2 linked regions of the Oreochromis niloticus genome follow. Each later gene encodes a partner of the first gene's protein in a complex. Links are inferred from orthologs where the notes say so. Each region holds a gene or a part of one and is shown on either strand. Other genes may lie near its edges.

Region 1 (7,012 bases):
CTCCAACCTCATAGTCCTCCTCGTTCATCCACTCGTTATACTGGTCCAGATCTAAAATCCACTTTGCATGGACCTGTAAATAAATAATTAATAAATAAACCAATTATTATCTGCCCAGAAGTGAAATATTTTCAGCAATCATGTCAACCACCAGGATGGTGGAGGAGGAGGTGGAAGGAGGAAGAGCTAAACTGAGTTATAATAAAGTTATAATAAAAGTTATAATAAAAGACTGAAACTCATGATATTAACCTCTGTTATTAAAGACTTTATAAAGAACAAGAACAAATTTAAATTCAAGCTGAAATCAAAAAGGTTTCCAAAAACATACAGATGTATCTGTAACATTTAAGTGCTGCACAGTGGACAAATAAAAAAAAAGATCCTTGAATTTAAATACTGCAAGTGTCATGTAGCATTAATAAAGGGGTCAAATACTTGTTTTAACTCAGGGAGTATTAGAAAATCTGCTGTTTAAATTCATACAGACTGACACAGACAGAAAAAAGCAACAACAAATACCTTCCTGGGCTTTTCTGGGGAGGGAGGATCTTCTACCGCAGCCTCAATTTCACTGGCTGCGATCCAGGTATCATAACTAAACAGTGAAAGGAATGAGGTCGAAACTCGCATTAGGTGGGAAAAGCACGTTTGGCCATGTAACACCACAGCAGGAGGGGTAATGTCAGCTTAACCTTCTAAAAACCAAAGATGTATTGAGAAAATAAGAGAAGTAGATAAAAGTGAGCTGCACGGTGCTCAGAACAAACCTGTCAGGAAAGTATCCCCAGTGAAGCAGCACTTGCTTGTCTCTCTTCATCACAGGACGAACCCACTCCTCTGGACCAAGAAGATCAGACGATGTTAGCGCAAATCTGACTCGTGCAGTAAAACTTGTAACAATGCCTACCGAGACAAAACCTCACCTTCCTCCAGACTGGCAGGAATAGGCACAACAACGTGGGAGCTGGAGGCCTTGTCTTCGGTTACTGAGCCCTGCAATACAAGAAAACATGAGTAGAACCATTTGAATGTAAATTAAATCTGTCTGTAGTAAATGATCTGCCTGAAAGGCTCCTTTAAAACACACCTGATGTCTTTTGATGATGTCTTTCAGTTTCCCCAGCAGCTTTGGCTCTATGTCAGGACTCAGGTAGATGACGGGCCTAGTCAGACAGTTGTTCTGGAAGAATTGGAGCAGATACATCACTTACATAACTACATTTGCGAGCATTGATTCAAATAATCAAGAAGACTCACAAAACAATACAATAATCGAAACTCAGTTCTGCCCAATATTAGTTTTGCTATAAGCTTATTCATGCAGTCTTCCATAACAGTCCCAGTTTCTCATGTGCCCTCTTTGGAATATTAATTGCCCAGTACTTGTCCTATGAACTTGATTAAAAGTAGAAATCAGCATGCCACAGCAGATGAAGAAATCTAAATGATCTTGGAAAACTGCAGGACTGATTAAGTAGGATTTCTGTGGTCATGTGACTGGATGTCTTTCAGTACTTCTGTGTGTAATGCTCAGGCAGCGTGATTCCCAGACTCTTGAGAAATTTAGCGTAACCACAGGACACGGTGTTCTCTTTGCTATCATTTAAATTTAATGCCTGCAGTAGGAAAAACCATCAAAAATTTACTCCTGTTAGATAAATGAACCAAAATATGGCCTGAAATTTTCTAGTGTCCATTGACAACCATAAAAGCACTTCTGCAAATCTCACCTGCACTAAGGACTTCTCAATCGTCATGAACATCTCCACATTTCGGTCCATCCTCGACGGATTCTGGAAGTCAAACCTGCGCCTACCAGGAGTTTAGACTGGAGTTACACACGAAACGGCAACATAGCCAATATCCAACTGAGCACCGTAACTTAACAGCCACTAGCCCAGACGCCTAAACTCAGCTAGAAAGAAAGTCTTACCATCCTTGGTCACTTTTGAACTTGTAGGCTGCAGCCAGGATGTGGCAGAGAGCCCCTCCTGACTTAAAGTCCAAGAAGCATTTCATCTGCAGGGATACAACTCAACACATTCAGAATCACAGCGGTTTAAATGAGGTATCTATTTTTGCATGTAACAGATATACAGATGCTTAAGACACGTACCGGCAGCTTGGTAAGCGGAGGGTTACTGACATGTCGACCGAACACCTCCTCCTGGAACTGGAGCAGCTGGACCACCAGGCTGGACAGAGACTTGTTGGTGGGGGGCTCGGCCTGGATGTACTGTGCGCAAACACATGAATATAAACTCAACTGTGCTGCTGGATGCCTTTATCAGATACCTCAAAGGAAGGAAATTTCAGTGAAAACTGCGACACGGATTGGTAAATGGGGAGGGGATGGAGTCACAAATATCGCTAACCTTTCATTTTTATCACTGTTTAGTAAAAAATGATTTTTTTTTATTTGTTTATTGTGTTTAAACACCAGCACAGTCCTCAGTGTTATTCAACACCGGACATTGCTTCAGTCAGCGCGGCGCGCCACAGAGCCAACATCTGGATCCGAGCTGCCTCACCGTTAGCCCATTAGCTTACTAGCTAGCTAGCGGGCTGGCCGGCTAAAGTCACCCTTCAACAAAAATCCATCCTCTGAGGTCAGACTGTGTGCTTGTTTTAGATCGGTTTAACTACAACAGTGCTCAGAGAAGCTGCCGTTAGTGGCTGCATCTGATGCAGCTGTTGGCTCAGCATCCTTTTGTATCCCGGCTCGAGTGAATCAAACAGCTGGACGCTCAGCAGCACCCTCCCTCCTCTCTTTGTCACTGCCTCTGCCCAATAGGTAAGTGGCCATATTTCAACGTGAAAAATGGAAGGTCTCGCTGTAGGATAGCAAAACATGCGGTCGGTACCTTTTTGTAATTCTTTCCCAGCCAGACGCGGACATTATCAAACTGAGAAACGGTATCAGACGCTTCGAAATATTTTACATTCGGGCCGCCGTCTTTCTTCCGCACCGCCATCTTTGCCTGCAGACAACTAGTCGAAGTTGCCTGCCGCCCAGCGACCACAGCGCGAAACTGCAGCCTTGGACTGTAGTGACAACCAAAGTACAACAGGGGGCGCAGCGGTGTAGATAATGTTTTTGTCCTCCAACAATACGATTATAAAAATGTTTATGCTAACCTCTCAGCGAACACACGCACAGATAGATAGATAGATAGATAGATAGATAGATGTATCAGTGGTTTAATGCTGATCTGGTTTGCTGGTAACTAACTGCTGTTTTATTTGAAAAAAAAAAGAGTAATTTAGTAAAATGGAGAAAAAAGTAGACTAAAACTGACAGCGAGAGCTCGTTAACTTCCCTACTTTCTATGTTTAAAAATTAAAGTAATCATTTTTACCCTATTCTTGATTTTATCATACTTTCCTCAACCAGTAAGCAATTAAATTGAGACCAATTAATAAGATGAGTTTTTAAAAAATCATGTCCGGTATCGGATAATTTCTCAATTCGGCTGTCAGTATTTGAAGAGAGTCTTACATAATAGAGTCAGGTGGATCGTTAGGTCATCAAAAGCAAACTTCAGCAGAGCTTTAAGTTATACTGACGGCAGTCTATGTTTTTTTCTGTGTGAGTAAAATCTGTAGAAGCTCAACAAATGCGGAACACACTAATGAACAAATCCTCAGGCGTGTGTAAAATGTACAGGAGCTTGCAGAGTATTAATAAAAATATTATTTAATAACCAGTATTAATAGTTAGTTTGATGCCTGTGCCTGTTTGTAAAATTCACCATATGCATCCACTCTAGAAGTGATAAGGAGGCTGATTATGCCAGTGCCCTGAATGGGCTACATGGTGAGTCTAAAATAAAGCACTTACCTGTAAATGTGTGTGGGGGAAAAAAATGAAATGGCAGCGATTGACCTCCTTAGCAATTAAATGACCTCCTGCAACAGGATGTCAGTAAGAGTGCTCACGAGACACTCAAGAAAGAAGGCAGGCAAGTAGTGTTTGTTTTTTTATCTTTTATTGAACTGTGAAAAATAAAAATGGAAAACGACAGTTTCTGATCCAGTGCGACAAAAAGTAGTAAATCCTGCTATTTGATGGTAATTGACATGATTCGGATATGTGTTTTATGCACTAAGTCAATGGTTTTAACTTAAATCATGGAAGCACTTACACTGAGAGACTTAGAGTGTCCCAGCAGGTGTCCAGTCTCTATTTAACCTCTAGTTTTCAGTGTCATCAGAATCAGAATACTTTAATAGTCCCTAAAGAAATGATGCATATCATGTATTGTTATGTGATTGTGGACAAATTAAATCAATTCCCCTCCTCAGCCTGGCGATAACTACAGGAAATGTGTTTGGAGGTTTTATCTTAACTTGGGGGTTAAGACCTCTCAAAGGATTTTCAATTATCTATTCATAAAAATTAAATGATTAAACGTTGTCTGTTTGTTGTCCTTTTTTTTTGCCTTTGTGTGTTTAGTAGGACTTTAAGTTTTTTCTTTCAATCCTCCATAAACTACTCAAATGGACAATCTTATATAAACTTACTGTGTGATAAAACTGAGCAGTATTTTGTATGTACCGCATGAGGAGTCTCAACTGTGCAGTGCTTCATTTAAAAAGGTCATGTGGGGAAAAGGTGGTGAGCATTATCAGAATTTGAAAGTTCAAATTAGATTCCAGATTTGGTTCAGCTAAGTGCCAGAGTAGATATTTTTTTCTGCTATTCCCTATTATGTTGAACACTTTGATATTTTCCTCTGGTCACCTTTTATTTCTTCTTATAAAGTACTTGTTTTAAATCAAAACTACATATGTAAATATGTGTTCAGTTAAATTGCTGCAGTAAAAGAACTAAAAATTGCACACATGTCACAAGTTTAATGTTGTATGGATACAAGACTTTTAATTATACAGCATATTCAGTATGTATATGTATATATATATATATATGTATACAAAAGTCTTTTATGTGAGAGCAAATTCAGCAGCCATTAAAGTTCAGAAATAACGGAGCAAAATATAGATATGTCAGACTGTTTTCATGTTCCTGACCTTTAAACTGGCCCTCGTTTAGTCAGAGGCTGAATTAACCTTCATTAACAGAGAATAGGTGTGTGTGTGTGTGTGTGTGTGTGTGTGTGTGTGTGTATGTGTGTGCATGTTGCCTGACCCAGACTAATTTGTGAAAGTCCACAGACACCACTGGGCAGAGTAGTGCTCCTTGAACTAGTATTCCTCAGACTCTTGGTGTGTTTGTATTTGCTCAGGAGCGTGTGCGTGCGTGCATGTGTGTGCATATCTTTGTAATGGTGCGTGTTTGTGTGTGTGAGCGTTGTACACAGGGCTGCCTGTGCTGAAGGAGAGAGAGTGAAGCCTATTGATTATTTTAATCCTCCTATTTGTGAGTCTGTGATCCTCTCGGCTCAGCCTTCCACAGGGGGATTGCTAATGGGGCTGAACGCTTCCCTCCTCAGCCCTCTCCTCTCCCTGTCCAATTAACTTAACGCTGGAATCTGCAAGGAGGGAGTGCTGGGACTCAGAGGGAGGGAGACACTGCCGAGATACATGCCCAACAACTCCCCCCCCCTCCCTGTGCAGCATTCCCCTTACCTCCTGTCTGCTCCTCATTCAGCAAGAACCTCCTTGTTCTGAATAGTATTAGCTCTCACCTTTAATTAAAGATCCATCTCCTTGTTTTTATTCCAGGGAGGTGAGACTCCCTTTCATGTTTCAATGTTTCACTTTCACTGGGTGGCTTCGGAAAGGGCCAGAAGCAGCAGCAGGTGAAGAAACAAGTCTGATAATGGGAAAGCTCTCTTCAAACAGGTTGCTGTAGCAGCAATTATGACAAATCTTTGACATTTCAATAACTATTTGCAGCACTAGTACGTTCAGCTCACTCATGAAGAATTTTAGGCATCAAGCTTTTTAATTATAAACCTGAAAAAAAAGGGTATTCACAAGGCATTGTTTGATGCAATTAAATTTTATATTCAGGCTCCTCTGTCTTCACTGAATGTGTGCAGGCAGTGCAAAAGCAACCATGTACAAACCACAACACATTTTTCTTATTCATATTATTTTTGATCAATAGTTGAATTTTGTGCTTAGTACAAAAAATGTTAGCATGCTAACATGGATGGAAAAACCTTCAAAACATCAACATGTTAGCATTCTAAGCCTGTTTGGATGTTAAAGTTAGCATTCAGGTCAAAGCAACACTTTAGGAAAATCAGAATATTGTAAAAAGAAACATGTCTAAGTAAAGAAATGCTGCCTGTTAAAGATATGGCTTTTTTTTTTTTTACAGAATAGATCAGAATATCAAATATGTGCCCATTTGGCAACATTGTGTGGCTATGGATGCCTGTGGCTGACATGATCCTGCTTAACCAACTCACTAAATTTGGAATACCTTATTCTAGTTGTGTATGTTTTGTTTTTGGGATTTACTGCCACTAAAATTCTACAAAGAGAAACACGCAGCTAAAAATGTCCACAAATAAATGTAATTTACAGTAAAATCAATGGTTTTGCACACATACAACATATTGCAATTCCACCTTTACAGTGCTTATTATCCTGACCAATTTGCACATTGCCAGAAATGTAAACTTAGTTAAATGTAATTTTGCACATTTGCAGGATGATTTGCGAATCTCATAAACCCATAATTTATTCACAATAGAAACACAGAGATTTTATGCTGTTCTAATAGATGCAGTTTAGCGTTGTCTTGCTGAAATATTATAGGCCTTCCCATCCTGGTGGGAGCATATGTTGTTCTAAAACCTGTAAATATGTTTCAGCATTGTTGGTGCCATTCCAGTTGTGCAAGCTGCCAATTCAATAGACAATGATGCACCGCCGTACCATCAAAGATGCAGAATGGTCCCTCTCCTCTTTAGACAAGACCTGTTCTCCATGTTTTCCATAGAGGGTTGTCTGTACACAGACCAGTTCTCCACTCTGTCTCAGTCCAGATCTCAGAGATGATGGTGGTGTTTGAGGATCATGTTGAAGCTTTAAT
Region 2 (7,361 bases), about 15 Mb from region 1:
GAGTATGAAGCCTCTTTTGACTATGATGTGAAAGGCTGCCAAGGACGTTGGAAGAGAAAAAATATGTGACAACCATTTACTGAGCTGTCTTTCAGGTTGGTAGTAGCTAAGAAGCAAACACTTCAGCTGTGGATCAGTGATAAATGACTCATCGTTTATATCTTGATTTTAATACAATTCTCTTATCTTAAGACATAACATATTAGCTGGAGATGACTCAATCCAATGCAATATCGGGGGAATAAACCCAGGACTACAGATCAGGATATGAAAATTTATACTCTGATACTAAATATGAATGCAAGAGCATGCATGGGATAATAAGACCAAGAAACCAAAGAGTTCTGATCAAATATAGTAATGGAGCATGCACGCAGTATATCGCTGGAGCACACAATCAGCTTTAAAGTCCATTCATTTGAAAACATTTAGAGTCTGAAGTCCTGATTTACTGAAAATGTTTGCTTCTTGGTCATTTTCTTGAGTCCCCACTGTGCAGAACGATGTGTTGCAGGATGTGAAAGCAAATGAAAGATTTCAGTTTCTTCAGCCAAAGGGAGCTCACCTTTAAATCTCAGCAGTCATCGTGGACCTTGATTCTGTTACATAAGAACTAGAAGGAGAAATTGGCAGCATCTTCTACCTTGCAGTTAAACTTCTGAAATGATCAGTATCTCCATATTAATATAGTGTGGGATTTCAAGATAGAAAATGAGCTGATGTCATTTTACCTGCTTAAACTTTTTTTCTTTTATTTTCTGTGCATCTGTGAGCTGTGCATCTCTATATGTATTAAAGGGAGGTTTTTAAAAATTATATTCCAGGGATTTCCACCCTCGACATACAAAAATATTCGGCAACCTAATCAACATCACCGTCCAGAGTTGAAACAGTTGGTCTATATCAGACTATTTCGTGGTTCAGAGTCAGGCAACTGTGAAGGTGCACTTTGCGTTCACCTTCACAGTTCCCCATATTCATTCTTCTCCCATTACAGTCAGAGTCGGTGATATTAGCCTCAAAGTTATATCACAATATTTGAGGGAAAATTGTGATTATATTTACAGCGATACAGGGGAAAAAACAACGTTGTATTGGTGACTTTAGCTTGCAAGCAGCAACATTTAATAGTGCAAACAAAGTGAAGGACGTTTTCCAAGCTGCCGTCATTGATACCGCTGACTGACATAAGACAGGTTGGTAAATAAATTACAGTATTACCAAGGCAACCAGAGCCTGAAACATCTACTTTAGACCAAACACGAGCAACACAGCGAATGTGGATGGGATTCTGGAAATGTTTAATCTGACAGGAAATCACTAAAACTCAAAATTATGTTTTTTTCTTCTACCTGAGACCAAAACATCAAGTTTCCTAACTAATATAATCAAATGAGTATGAGGACCCACCTATGTAAAAGTGCTATAAATCAAAATATTATCACAATATCTTGAAACAGCACAAATCTTAAAAAAACAAACAAGATAACTAGTGGCTGAGGGTGAACGCACCATGGTTTTATTGTGTATTCATTGTGACAATTTGTAGAAATTGTCTCCTTTGGACATCTGTTTTTCTATCTATTTTACTGCATAATTACTCTGAGTATCTCTGCAATTTAGGGGATCATAGACTACTGTTAAATTGTGTTTAATATGTGTGTATCACCTGCAGGTCCGTAAGTAAATTTTCGACTATTTGGACAAATGTTTGTGAGGCAACTTTCCCCTTTCTGAGACTGACAAACAACCAACCGACCAGTTACTGTATATCCAGTTTGTTGATGGTATACTGGCAAATAAGATTAGTTTACCAATGCTGCTGGTGGACAATGTTAATGTGTTTTCAAATCAATTCTGCACTGTGTAAATGTTAATAGATTGTGTAAATTATTTTATATTTCAAATGTGAGAAACGACTGTAGATTAATCATGTGATTATTATTATTATTAATTGTGACCAATGGACTAACCGCTGTAATCTGATTTGAAGATCAGAAAATATCAGCTTATAAGACTCAAAATTAACTAAACATCCTTCCAGCAGTTTAGATGCGTAGTGAGTTCACGCTGAGATCCCAGCGTTTCTTGGTACTTGGTGTACTTTGCGGCAGACCAGCCAAGTAACAGTGAGCTCACTAAACATAGACACACTGATGTTAGACTTTACAAGTTGTAAAACACCAACTTCGACGAGACAAACTGCACCAGCTAAACAAAGAGTGAAGTCTGCTACTGACTGGCACCTCTCCTTAATCAGTGTTTCTGTAGGTAGGTTGTAAATTTGCATTGACACAAACTCATATTGATGCAGCCGATTCATTCAAAAGTAGGCTCGACTTATAACAACTTCTGAGTTCGAACCGAGCCTGAACTTCACAAACTACAACTTCTAAAACTTAAAGGATGGTTTAATTGTTATGTTTACAAACTACACGGTGCACATTTTGGGTCTTTTTGATAAGAAAACTGGCCGAAATACAGTTAACAGTTAGCGGGGTTAGCAGGCTAAGCTAACTGGATGCTGCGATTAGCTAGCTAACCTTAATGTTAGCAGGCGGGAGGGTTAGCAAATTCAAACAACAAACAAACTCTGATGGTCATCCACAGCGACTGGTGAAATATTTCAAATGCATCACCAGTTTTGAACCGGGCTGCTAGTTAGTATGAGCTGTGGCCTACGGTGGTGAAGGGGGTTAATGCTAGCCACTAGGGACAAAGCAAGCGGAGCGAGGCTTTGTTCTAGCGGACTCGCTAACGCGTCAGCAGCAAAGATAGAGCGATATCTTACCGGGTACCCAGGCCCGGGCATCGGTGAGCGGTACATGTGGTTCTGCGCGGCAGCCGATGGTCCCATTCTTCCAGAAGGTGTTCCTGGTCCCATGCCTGGTCCTGCACCCGGTACCGGTGGTCCAGGTCCCATTGCTCCACCACCACCCGTCGGTGCCGACTGAAACCCCCCTCTGGCCGCCATCTCCTCTCTGAATGTCGCTGCCGGTGTAGGCGCGGAGCTACCGCGAGAGCGAGAACGAGTGTTGGGATGGACGTCACAGGTTCAAGACGCCCTCCCCTGTTTGTTGGTGGTACTACAGCAAAATTAGACCTGGTGACGATGACGGCGGAATAGGTCCTCGTTCAACGTTACAAAAGTACTGTAAATATACTCCATTACTCCATATAAGTTCTTTAAAAAATACTAGTTATGTAAAAGTTTCTAACTATAATCATGAACATGTACTTAAGGTATTAAGAGTACTCACTTCAGTTGTGCTATTACGCAAAATATTTGTTTTATGTTACATCTGTTAGAGTATAATTACTTAAAAAGCAGGATTGACCAGGATATTACTGTTGTAGATGGATACGTTTTTTTTGCTACAATATGCTACTGGACTACAATTAATGGATATTTTAGTTAGGTAATGTGGTAATTCATTTTTAATTAATAAATTTAACATCATCCCCAAAGCCATGGGCAGTGAACAAAAAAGGTGAAGACGAGAGTGTAGCCAGGATGGAGTGTGTGGAGACAAGTATCAGGGTGATTCGTGACAGAAGGATAGCAGCAAGAGCGAATGGGAAAGCTTTTAAAATGGTATTGAGATCTGAGATGATGAATGGTATGGAGACTGTTGCAGTCACCAGGATGGACAAGTTTAAAAATAAGTATTTAGGAGGTACAGCTCAGATTGAGACAAAGTTAGAGAGGCAAAGCTGTCATATGCAGAGGAAGGATAGTGGTTACATTGGACAAATAATGTTAAAGATGGAGCTACCAGGCAGAGGGAAGAGAGGAAGACCACAGAGAACATTCATGGATGTAGTGAAAGAGGGAATGCAAAAAGTTTCAAGAAGAAGCATCACCTAATCTTCCCCAGGTCTCCACTTACCTGTTCATCCATGCCTTGGACTGTCTATGTGCACTCTGCCTGTTTTTTTGACCTCAGCAAGTTAACCTAGATTTTTGACTGACCTTTTTGTCTTTATCTTGTTAGCCTTCCTTGTGTTTTGCTTTGGTACTGACCTTACTAAGCTGCAAGTTTGTTTTACAGTCATGTAAAAGTAAAAGTTTTTACTGGTCTAAATACAGACCTGTAAAAACTAAATGCATCCTGTGACTTGATAGCTTTTAGATCCTTTTGCATCAATAGCTTAAAGTAATTGTTTTCTTTATGATTTTATCAGTCTCTCATGTTGTTGTGGAGGAAACTTGTCCCACTTGTCTTTAATATTCTTATCTCTTTAGAATTCTGCTTAAGTTCATTTAGGCTTGCAGGCATTTCAGTTGGATGTCTAAACTTCGACTAGCCCATTGCAGCACCTTGAGTCTTTTCTTTTTCAGCCATTGTAGATTTGTTGGTGAGCTTGGTATAATTGTCATTTTGGACGATCCGATTTCAACCAAACTTCAGGTGTTGAACAGATGACCTCACATCTGGCTCTAAAACACTTTGGTTCATGGTCGACTCAGTAACTCCAAGGTCTGTAAGCTTGTGCTTTGACGGTTGATGTGAGGTGTGTGAGCTGATATCCTGTGTTTGGTTTTCGCCAAACGCAGTGTTGTGTATTATGGCCAGACAGCTCCACTTTGAACTTGTCTGTCTAATGGACATTGCTCCAGAAGTCATGAGGCTTGCTCAGCTGCAAGTTTGCAATCCTAAACCGTGCTGCTATGTTTTTAGAGAGAAGAGACTATCTCCTTCCAGTCCTTCCAACCAAGCCATAGTTTTTCAGTCTATATCTAGTTATACTGCCATGAAGTAGGAAATATCTGTTGAGTTTAATAAGTATCTCATGTTTTTGCGTTCTTTGAAGTTTTTCTTACCACTGCATGATGTGGTCTTTGGGTGACTTTGCTGGGATATCCAGTCCTGGGAAGATTGTGGGATAGTGTAAACACAGACCTAAATGCTCCAGACCAGCAACCTGCCAAAACGTCTGCTTTTATAGAGGTTCTCACATTTGGTGATGATTTGTTGATTATCAATACCTGGCTGCCACTTACCTTTTTAATTCCTGGCTGCTAATATAATTTTAATGGAAGCATTAAGCGTGTACTCATTTTTCACAGGAGTGCATAGAGTCCTGTGAAAAATGTTCTTTTTCACAGAACTGTACCTGTCTGCCTCTGGCTCTGTAATTTGGCTCTATTTTTCTTTCACCGTAATTATCTCGAGTCCAAAGTGACACCTTTAAAGTTTTTTTGCTCTAAATTAAAGTGCATATGAAATTGTGTAATTATTAAGTACCGAAATATGACAGATAAATATAGGTGCTTGTAAAGATAAACCTTGTGTACCTCAATTTAGTACTTTGGCACTTGTTTAAAAGTAATTACTTTAACTTAATTTCACTGAACATGAAGGGAAATCACAGCCTTTCTTAAATTAAGGAAGGTTATAAATGAAATAAAACTAAATCCAGAAACATTATTGTGTTTGTGTGTTGCTCCTTCATTTTATTCTTTAATTAAACAAGTGCTAACATGAAGTATGAAACACAAGAAAAAATAGCATAAGTCAGTATCTGACAAGTAATCTTGAAATGAAAATGAAATGAAGATAATGAAACTGTTAATTAACTAAATTAACAGTGGAGCATTGGCACCTTTTATCATAATCTGATTGCATTTTCTTCTTTCAATCTTTGATAAATTATTGGCAATACGGGCTCAGTGACTATGAAAATTAGCCTTTTGCTTATCTCTCTTTTTTCAGAACTGTAATTAAAATTCATTGTCCCTCTAACCAAATGAATAAACTTAATTATATTCAGCGTCTGATATCTCTCCAGGCTGACTGGTGACTAAAAACCAGATCTATGGATGCAATGTGCAGTAAACCAAAACAAACAACTCTGTCTGGGTTTGTAAAAGTTAAACAAAGGTTAACTCTGTCTTGTTTGGTATGCCATCCAGTCAATCTGTCTGCCAGGGACTGCAAAATGGATTAAAACCAAACAAAACAGCATGCGAGGCCCTCGTAGAGAGACATTTGGAAGGAATATACCGCCATGACTGAGTCGTAGCCATTAAAAGGAAATGCTGGATGCTTTCAAAATAATGAAGGAAGTAGTTTTTATTTATCAGTTAACGTCATCATTCATCATGCAAAGTGCAGCAGACTGCAATGAGAGAAGTATTTAGTGTGACCATCCCTGTCCTTTAAAAGGACTTTCAAAATGCTTTTCTATGATCTTGGAGAACTTGCTGCTGTTCTTTGGTGGTCTCAAGCCATATCAAGCTGATACTGCTGTGAAAGGCAGGACTCATGGTTCTTCTTGTAGTTGAAGATGGCTCTTTATGCTTTTGTCCATCATCCTACCGATTTCATTAAATGACTGATGCAAAAAATGAAACATTTGAAGTACCTCAGCCTCTGATGCTTTCCTTTTTTGTGTAGAATAATTAATGAAAAATCTAAAACTGTTTTGGTACCAGTAATGAATTATTGACATCATAACTGGCCTAGAAATAAATCAGTATGGATTATTAATCTTAAAATATTCAAGGACAAGACAGCAATAGTGTCCTTCACCACTGGGCCTCCCAAGTCTGCCCTCAGAGTAGTTGACTCAAGTGTTGTTGGCTCTGAAGCAGTGTAATGACAGTGGGCCTTTGGGTGAAGCAGGAAACATCTTGGGATAGGCAGAAAAGAAAAATATGACACATCACATCATGCCTTTAATGTGGGAGAAAAAGGGATGTAATTTTAAGATATTTCTTAGGAAACTATTCATTTTTTTTCAAATGTTTTTCAATGTCTTTTTTTGTGGACTAAATACATCAGGCACAAATGAGTAAGAGTGGCTGGGTTTGAGCCTAGGATAAAAGCCTTGTGCTTTGAGTTTGTATGTTCTGAGGTCAGATATTTCCTACCATGAAAAATAAATGAAATCTCTCAGAATTGTGCCCTTCACCAATGCTATTGGCCCTCTGTGACTTCCCACTGCTCTTAATATGGGGATCAATAAAGATGTTCTGAGTAATGTTGCCAAAAATGGCCTAAAAAATCCAAGACCAGAAATTCAGGTAGGTTAGATAAGTCTATATAAAAAGGCCTTTATTTTACAGGGTTTAAGAGATTAAAAATACATCAATGTGTGCCAGTTTACACCTTGTTCAGGTGTAGAGATACAAAGATACAAATCTATCCATATCCTTTTTATCATGAGTGAGGGGTCTTTATACTTGACCTATTGAGTGTTAAATATAAGATTACAAATGAATAAAGGGTAAAAAGAGTGACGCATATGGTGGTAATCACTAGGCTTGACTACAAAGTCTCTAAAAAATAAACAAACGTAGCTGAAAAAGTTGAACCCGCAGTCATGTTTGTTTGAATTTTCACTCTTGAACAGAG

Evidence for each region. Proteins that work in one complex are often made in the same cells at the same time.
Region 2: smarcc2 (region 1) and smarcd1 share a complex: the UniProt entries of both Homo sapiens proteins name them as parts of the BAF complex. The link is inferred for Oreochromis niloticus from reciprocal best matches to the Homo sapiens genes SMARCC2 and SMARCD1.

Annotation. Positions count from the first base shown.
Region 1 is NC_031970.2:23,534,635-23,541,646, forward strand, and holds the start of smarcc2 (SWI/SNF complex subunit SMARCC2), read right to left. Parts: upstream 3,021-7,012; 5' UTR 2,979-3,020; coding exon 2,868-2,978; intron 2,240-2,867; coding exon 2,120-2,239; intron 2,023-2,119; coding exon 1,937-2,022; intron 1,816-1,936; coding exon 1,734-1,815; intron 1,184-1,733; coding exon 1,091-1,183; intron 997-1,090; coding exon 927-996; intron 841-926; coding exon 771-840; intron 599-770; coding exon 523-598; intron 74-522; coding exon 1-73. UniProt on the Homo sapiens protein: Involved in transcriptional activation and repression of select genes by chromatin remodeling (alteration of DNA-nucleosome topology).
Region 2 is NC_031970.2:8,062,101-8,069,461, reverse strand, and holds the start of smarcd1 (SWI/SNF-related matrix-associated actin-dependent regulator of chromatin subfamily D member 1), read right to left. Parts: upstream 3,028-7,361; 5' UTR 2,975-3,027; coding exon 2,792-2,974; intron 1-2,791. UniProt on the Homo sapiens protein: Involved in transcriptional activation and repression of select genes by chromatin remodeling (alteration of DNA-nucleosome topology).